Caenorhabditis elegans: one gene and its partner. The protein of the gene in region 2 purifies or fractionates together with the protein of the main gene of each other region. This does not show direct contact. Each region holds a gene or a part of one and is shown on either strand. Other genes may lie near its edges. The genes, in order: sax-3 and ebax-1.

Region 1 (3,929 bases), on a different chromosome or scaffold from region 2:
TATCCATCTTGACAATGTGAATAAGAAAGGAAACTTGTCCAAGTGCATTAAATCAATCTGACCGATCCGGCACGCGCAATACTGTCACATCTGTATTATGGTGTCGAAACGAACACCTTCCCTCACCGATTTTTCAGTAGAGATGTGCGACACTATTGTCCTTGACGGACGGTAGGTAATAAAATGATTCACTAGGAATTTTATCAAAATTTATGTATGTGTGTGTGTGTGTGTGAGTGTGGTAAAAACCTAGATAGTACATTAACGGCTGGTTTATTGGGTGTCGGTGGTCTATTACATAAGATTGCCATTGACCTCCGACGGATTACCCATCTTCTCCCATCTGCTTCAAAAAATATCAAAAAGCCATTTTGAATCACTTGTTTATGGCATTCACCCTGACACTGCTGCGCACACACTTAATAAAAATTTCAGCAGGCCGACTTGTTTTCCTCCACTTCAAAATACGGACCACTGTTGTTTTCCACTAGTAAATTACCAGACCAAAGTGTGGCTAACAAGCTGCCGGATTCAACAATTTAATTAGCCTGGCTGTCCTTCTGTCTCTTCTGTCACCTCTTTAACCTTTCAACAATCTAGCGTGCCAGTGTCAAAATGTGCGCACGCGAGTAAACTATCCATGAACCAATGTATTGTACTCTGGCTACAATTTAATGGCCGTGTTAACCTTCAAAATATTATACTACGCTGCCTGCCCGCCTTTTCATCCATAGGCAAGACAAAACCAAAGAGCTGTGAAGATGTACACATATCTCATCCTGTCAACACCCAATTTCACAATTCGCCCGTCATTCTTTCGCAACACATTGGTGTTGAAAGCTTCTGCTAAAAAGCAGGCTGTCTTTCTAAAACATGAGATGCAACTGAATATTTTGGACAGCGCCAACAGCTCATTAATAACCTACTAGTCTCTGGGGAGGGATTTCAAATAGCTTCTCATCTTCTATCAACCGCATGCTAATGATTCTCAATTTTACGGATATTCGCATGCATCTTAAAACTGTGCTAAAATGTTTAAATGACCCAGGTTGGGGCAATTTATCACATTGAATAATGACTTGCACATTGCACAAATTACATTGTGGAAATGTGGAAATGTGGAACAAGACAAATATCGAGAGTCTGCGGGTGGTCGCTCCCAACTGTTTCTTATATTTTCGTTGCAAATTACACTGGCTCTGGTCGCTGTACAAAAAGACTTATTGTTTTAAGAGATTAGCATTTGAATGGTGAATACTTGAGAACACGCGCCTCAATGAGACTAACTCCTCTCATTCATTTTCTATACCATTTATTCTCCCCCCGTCCTATTCACTATTGTTTTCTCAACATTACCATCCAAAAGCGGGGCTTGGCTCGGCCAAGAGGGCAGATGGCAGTCCAAAACGATAATCGAATCTTTTTACACTATAGTCGGCAAACGAGCTCACAATCCAAGCAGCGAACCCGCTTTTGGTGTTTGACAAAATGAAGAGTCATGTCTAATAGCGCAAGAGTAGAAAAAGCAGCGAGTAAAGAGCATTTTTCCAAGATGGAGGGCATTCGTTTCCGCGCATTCAGTCAATCTTCGTTTTAATCGCTTTCTTCGACATGGGAAATACAACCCAACCTAATGGATTTTCCAAGTTTCCAAGTGAATTCAAAGAAAACCCACGAGTGGATCGAATAGCGTGTCTTGTTGGCGACGCGTTTTTTTCACCATGTAACTTGACACTTTTGGTACATTCTTAACTTAACATTTTTTTTCTAGAAAAAAAAAACCAACCTTCGCAGAAGCTTCGGATTACTGCTTGCAATACCAGGAGGATAGTGCATAACAGCGTTTTTCGATTGAACATGATCTTGTTTTATTCAATCTGTGTCCAATTTCAAAGGCTGCATCTAATTGTGGCGGTGTTCTGAATTTCCAGTTGGGAGACACCTGCAAGAAAAACACAAAAGTAATCAAAGTTATTGGCGGTTGTTTTAAGAGTGGGCGACAAAATGACGGAAAGAGAATGAGGGAATATAAAAGGAGAAACAAGACAAAATAGGTGATGGGAAAAAGATGGAAAAGGGCGAAAAAAGCGTGGCCCTGGGTGTAATCATTCATCTTTGCTAGGGTGACACTCGGGAGAATAGATTTAGAAGGAAAAAAGGAAAAGACACAACAAAGTAATTGAAAAGTTGACGAGCGTCGTCGTCGTCGTTTTCAAGACGCGAAGACGATTTGTGCGTCCGTTTTTGCGCATTTTCGGTGGTGGTGGTGGTGGAGCGATTCGGACGGAAGCCGACCCTAAATTGGACTAGAGAGCCACATTCTAGAATGAAGAACAAATTTAGTCTTCTACGCGACGGAAGATGTTGGACAAAAAAAAATAAAGAAAAAATGCACGGGAGGCAAAAGTAGCCAGCAGGAAGACAAGCAACAAAAAAAATGAGGACGCAAAGTTAGGAGGCAAACGTAGTGAGACTGGTTAAAGATGACGCGCAGAAGGACGGATGAAGGATGGATATAGAAGATGAAAGAAAATGAACAAGTCGATTTTGAAAGGATTTTCTTAAATGCGGCGAGGCGTAATCAAAATTTGGTGTAGTGAAAAGGCAACTTGAAAAAGGAAACCTACTCTGACAAAAAATATAAAAAATCTTTAGTACTAAGTTCGTGGCAGATTGGGAAGTGTGCAGGAGTTGTTTCAAACTGCACAAGACTCCCGAAAAGCTATGCAAAATTTTATTTTACGCAGGAGTTGTGCAAGATTGTAGTAAGAATCCGTTGAAGTTTCAATCTAAGTAGAACTTCATCAAGTCTATATAGGCGTTTTACTTTACTTGGGAAATTTGATTTTTGCCAGAGTATCAATAAAATAACTATAGCTACAATTTGAACATGGAAATTAAAAACTTCAAACACAGCAAAATGGCCAAAATTAGGAAAATACCTTGAAATTAAAAGAAAAACGGATTTTCAACATCACCAAATGGTTCAAAATTTTTATACATACAAAAAGCTTTCATTGTTTCTCTAACAACCAAAAAGAAACAAATCACAATTTAGTACAAATGCATTTGCAGAACATTTAAAATGAGGACCGTTGAGACGAATTGCTAGAAGGCGTAGACGCAGAATGTTAGACATCAGATTTCCTCTTCAAGGTGTGTGTGCAATGCGCGGGGAGATAAACGCGCAAAGAGGAGTGAGACAAGTATCGATTTATGTTGTGCCAGCGATTGAATAATACTGATTAGATAAACTATCTGGCAACAGGCGGGCGAATAAGAAAAATCAATACGCTTTATTCTAGACAAGAAAGTACTCGAGAACATATCAAAGCTCTCAACTCAATAAGGTCGTCAGAAAGCTCATAATTGTCAGATAAATAACCTAAATAATGCGCGTCAAGAGCACGGCGATGACGGATGTCCATGTCATGCAAGCGGCTCGATACGGAACGAAACCGCATGGAATATGAGGGGATAGCCGGGGCTATACGTCGCCCCCTTCCCTGGTTAAGTAATTATTCCAATTCGTGGCCGCCCTCCTCTCACATTCGACTACCCGTTCATTAGGTCCATTGTAGACCGAACCTATGCCCATGGACCAACGAGGCAAACGATTGGGGGACGGGAGGACGACGAAGAAGAAGGAAAACCCGGCCCTGTCATACAACATCTGTCGTGTTGTGTCTATACGTTGTCAATGAGCAATAGTTACACTTGTAGTGGAACCGATAAAATTCGCAAGAATAGGTGGGGAGATTCGAAGAGCCTGTGATTTTTGCGGGGAAGCAGACGGTGGGGAAATGTGGAAAGTAAAAAAGTGAGAACCAGTGACAGGAATTGACCATAATTTCGCAAAGGTGTCGGCGGGGCGAGAAGCTGGACAATAAACTTTATGGCACTTTACAAAGTGCGTTTGTTCGTTGAAA
Region 2 (3,929 bases):
TACATCACTTTCTTGTCCACTCTCTGTACTATCATTATTTCCAGCATCTGCTTCATTGAGAACTCTCCAAATTCCATCAACACCCTGATACTCATTACGGCGCCACGATGGTCCGTCTTCTTCAACCTTCCTTTTGAGAAGCTTCTTCTTCTTTTTCTTTTTTTTCAACACTTTTTCTCTGTGAGGTGGAACCATCTTGTAACTGTTCGATAGATTTGGCTGAAAATTCTTAGAATATAATTTTTTTTCAAAAACAAAAACATACCGCATCAACATAGAATATCGCATCAGTGGGAACACCAAATCGAATATCTTTTTCATTTAGATAGTTACACATTTGAATTGCTGGATAGAACCCAGGGAAGCAATTCAGAGTGAACTTCATATTCTGAGATGACAGAGGGTATCTAATATCCATGTTTGTGATTGTCTGGAGTATTGCAGCTGTTTGGTGATTGCTTAGAACTGTAGCATCAGTTGTTTGAGTGACTTCCGCAGGAATCGGTGGAGCCAAAGTGATCATATTTTTCAAACGATTAACTGCAGTTCGATGGTAGTCTTGAAGGTAAGGTACTAGCTGTGATCGGTATAATTTTCCAGCTCTTGGATTGAGTGCCACCAACTTCCAGAGTATGACAATTTCATCGCAAAGCTGAGAACAATTCAGTTGGGCGAGCATTTGGGAATTTGGAACTTTGAAGCAAGAAGTCTGAGCCCAATGCCCTGACTGAACCAATTTAGTAATGTACCACCATAAAAGAACTTGATGGTTTGATAGACACTCATCAGTCACAGTTCTCAACAGTGCCACAGCGTTTTCATCGTTTCTTGCAAACATTTCTCGAATCATTTGTAATAAATTCCACATTCCTTCTGGATCACGACATCGAAGAGGTTTAATCATGGTTGTCCACTCAATATGAGTAGGATGATGAGTTGCGGTGAGATACTGTATATCACAATGAACAGAGGGAGCTGGCACACAATATTTGATCAGAAGTCTCCGAATTTTGCTTTCGATTTCTGGGAAATCGTAACGAGAGACTGGATCATGTCCACCATCCGTTGGGTCGGGAGCTCCATGGAGATTGTTTATATTTGAATGTGGATCCTTGATTTGATCAATTAATTTTTGGAACCCGGGAATACATTTGCGTGGAATCTCATTGATATGCCATTGAACAAGTCGTCGAAGATCAAAATCACTCATTGAATTGATTGCGTCGGCTATGGTTTCCCTGAAAAATGAAATTAGAATCTTTTGAGATTTGTACGTGCTTACTTGAATTTTATATTGCTCCTTTCGTAAATTCGATAGATGGACAATGCCACCACATGTTTGCACCAACTAGAACGATTCGAGCATTCACAGGTGCATTCGACAATCCGACATCTGTCTACTTTCACTGTTACATGGAAAGATGAATTATCATCATATTGAATTGGACGGGTATCTGGATGCGTTGAGTTACTGATGTTACCACTGAGTAGAAAACCAGTTTGTGAGACATCTCGAACATTTCCCCATTCATATATGGTTTTTCCAAGTTCATATTGCTCAGATGACCCGTTGGCAAGAGTACTGAAAAATAAGAATTTAAATATTTTGTCAAAAAGGAAGCAAATAACTAACCTATACATTCGAATTTCATCAGTAGATTGTGGGAAACAATGAACTATAAATGAAAGAAAAATCTTCTCAGGAATAGTGGAGATTGGTGGAGGCATTGCAAGTTTCTCTGCTCTCGAAGTACATATATGAGAGTACATTTCTTCAAGTTGCTGAAACGACCATTTTTCCGCACAAACTCTTGCAGAAATTTCCGATAATGTGAGCAGAGTTCCAATTGAATCATCTCCTCTTGACATCATTGGATGTTGACTCAATGGATTGTTTGGATCCCCGGGTACCACTGTTCTTGTTGATGCTGAGGAAAACCGTCCTGATGCACTGTAATGCTGGTAAACAACACAAGAAAGTCCAGGTTGGATTGCTTCACAATTTGATTGACAATCTGTCCATCCTCTCCAATTCTGACTATTTCCATCAAGTGATTCGTCTAGTGAAACTTGTGAGTCCTCCTCAAATCTCTCAGAATCCTAAAAGATATTTATTTTAATTATCATAATATTCAATATTAATCAAACCTCAAATGAGACATCATCGCGGCCGTTCCATACATTGTTGCCCACTGCATTTGGCAGCATACCACCAACGTTTGCAGGTGTGAAGTGGACTCACGAGTAGAACACGAAAGTCTGGAAAAAAATAAATGTTTATTTGAGGGATTCATAGAAATCTAAGAGATTTATTAGGAAACAACAAACACCCAAGAAGCTGTTTATTTTTAAAGATACACCTTCAGTTTTCAACTTACAAGGAAAGTATTTCAACGTATTAATGGACTTTGAAATGAAGCATATTTCATTTGAAAGAACATTTTCCAAAAAAAAGTCACTACGAAAAGTTTAGCTGCTTGCGGACACTTTGAATCAAAAAAAAGTAGATCTAAAGTTCCCTTCAGGCCATTTTCTCACAAAAATCAATGATTCATAAAATGACTCAGAAGAGTTTTTTTCAGGTCTTATCTTTTTTTTAATAAGCGTTATAAACATGGTAACATTTTAAGACGTTTTCAAAATAAAAATTTTGAAAAAAAAAATTTCAAACTTTCTGGTCAAAGTAATGTTAAAATTTTCAATTCGAAAATTTATTCGAAATTTTTTTGGAATTTTTTTTGAATCACTGGCACATAAATTAAGATGATTGAATTGACTATTTGCATAGTTGGGTATAAAATTACAATCAGTCAGTTCTGTCTCATAAATTGAAAAGTTTGAGGACAAAGAAAGAATCCTATTGAAAGAGGTGATATTGCCCAGTAAATACATAATTTGGTCAAAATATTTGTACATAACCATGTAAATGACCTATTAAAACATCTCCATTCCAGTAATTCAAAAAAAAATCCAAAAAAATTTAGAAACATAATACAGGAAATAGAAGGAGTTCAAAAAGATTTTCTGAACTTTTCAGAAAGTAGGCTAAAATACGGAATTGGATCATTAGAAGAAAAGACAAAAAGTTTGAAAGGAAACTAATTGGTGGAGAAATTAATATTAATCAAAAACATTTTTTCAAATTCACAACTTCTGATCGCACTAGTAACCGGCTCACTTATAGATGGAAAACCTCTAGATCTAAACTTCGATCCCAATTGTTCACTCATCATGTGTTGAGTTTAATTTTAAGCCCAAATGAAATCAATTACCCTAGTTAGTTACAATTCTCATGCAAAGATTTTATTAACAAATTTCACTTCTTTATGTAGTTTATCAGTAGATACACATGTGTTTCGCGGTTTTTTAAATATTTATGGAATGTAGTTGAGGCATCAGCAATATGATGAAGCAAATATTTTGCACTAAAAGTCGCAATTAGCAATATATTGCTAGAATGTTGGTGGTCCCGCAGCGAGATTAGCGATTTGCAAATTGCATCTAAAATACTGGTGGCCATAAGTATTTTATAACGGCGAATCACCTGTGTCATAGCCTTTCTAAATTATTTGCACTTTCATCATAATTTTTTTTCTTGCGATTCTCTCCATTTTCCGTTCAATGAACGATTTAATACGCATGTTCAATAATAATAAAATTTATCCGAGAGGAGTACAGAAGAAAATTAACATCGCTGCGAGACCAATCGCTACAGTACTCAATGTCGATTTACGGAGGAAACATGTTTTGATTTCTCATTGTTTCTTTTGTCATTTTTTGTCATTTTAGTTTTAAAACTTAATTATCCTCTAATGATTTGCGCGGTTTTTTATTAAATTTTTGATTATTCTCGTAGCTTTTGAGTTAAACTAATTAAAAGTCTTCAGCTATGCTAAATTTTGCTTCCTTTTCTTGAATGAAAACCTAAA

Evidence for each region.
Region 1: the proteins of ebax-1 (region 2) and sax-3 purify together in Caenorhabditis elegans (affinity purification with western blotting, with the first as the bait; one study listed by BioGRID). This does not show direct contact.

Annotation. Positions count from the first base shown.
Region 1 is NC_003284.9:3,463,984-3,467,912, forward strand, and holds the start of sax-3 (Protein sax-3), read right to left. Parts: upstream 1,945-3,929; 5' UTR 1,903-1,944; coding exon of another isoform or gene 1,873-1,902; 5' UTR 1,860-1,872; coding exon 1,787-1,859; intron 1-1,786. UniProt on the Caenorhabditis elegans protein: Required to confine migrating sex myoblasts to the ventral muscle quadrants during their migration through the body and for multiple aspects of sensory, motor, and interneuron axon guidance.
Region 2 is NC_003282.8:10,285,285-10,289,213, reverse strand, and holds the start of ebax-1 (SWIM-type domain-containing protein), read right to left. Parts: upstream 2,260-3,929; 5' UTR 2,209-2,259; coding exon 2,149-2,208; intron 2,101-2,148; coding exon 1,634-2,100; intron 1,583-1,633; coding exon 1,283-1,582; intron 1,239-1,282; coding exon 266-1,238; intron 220-265; coding exon 1-219.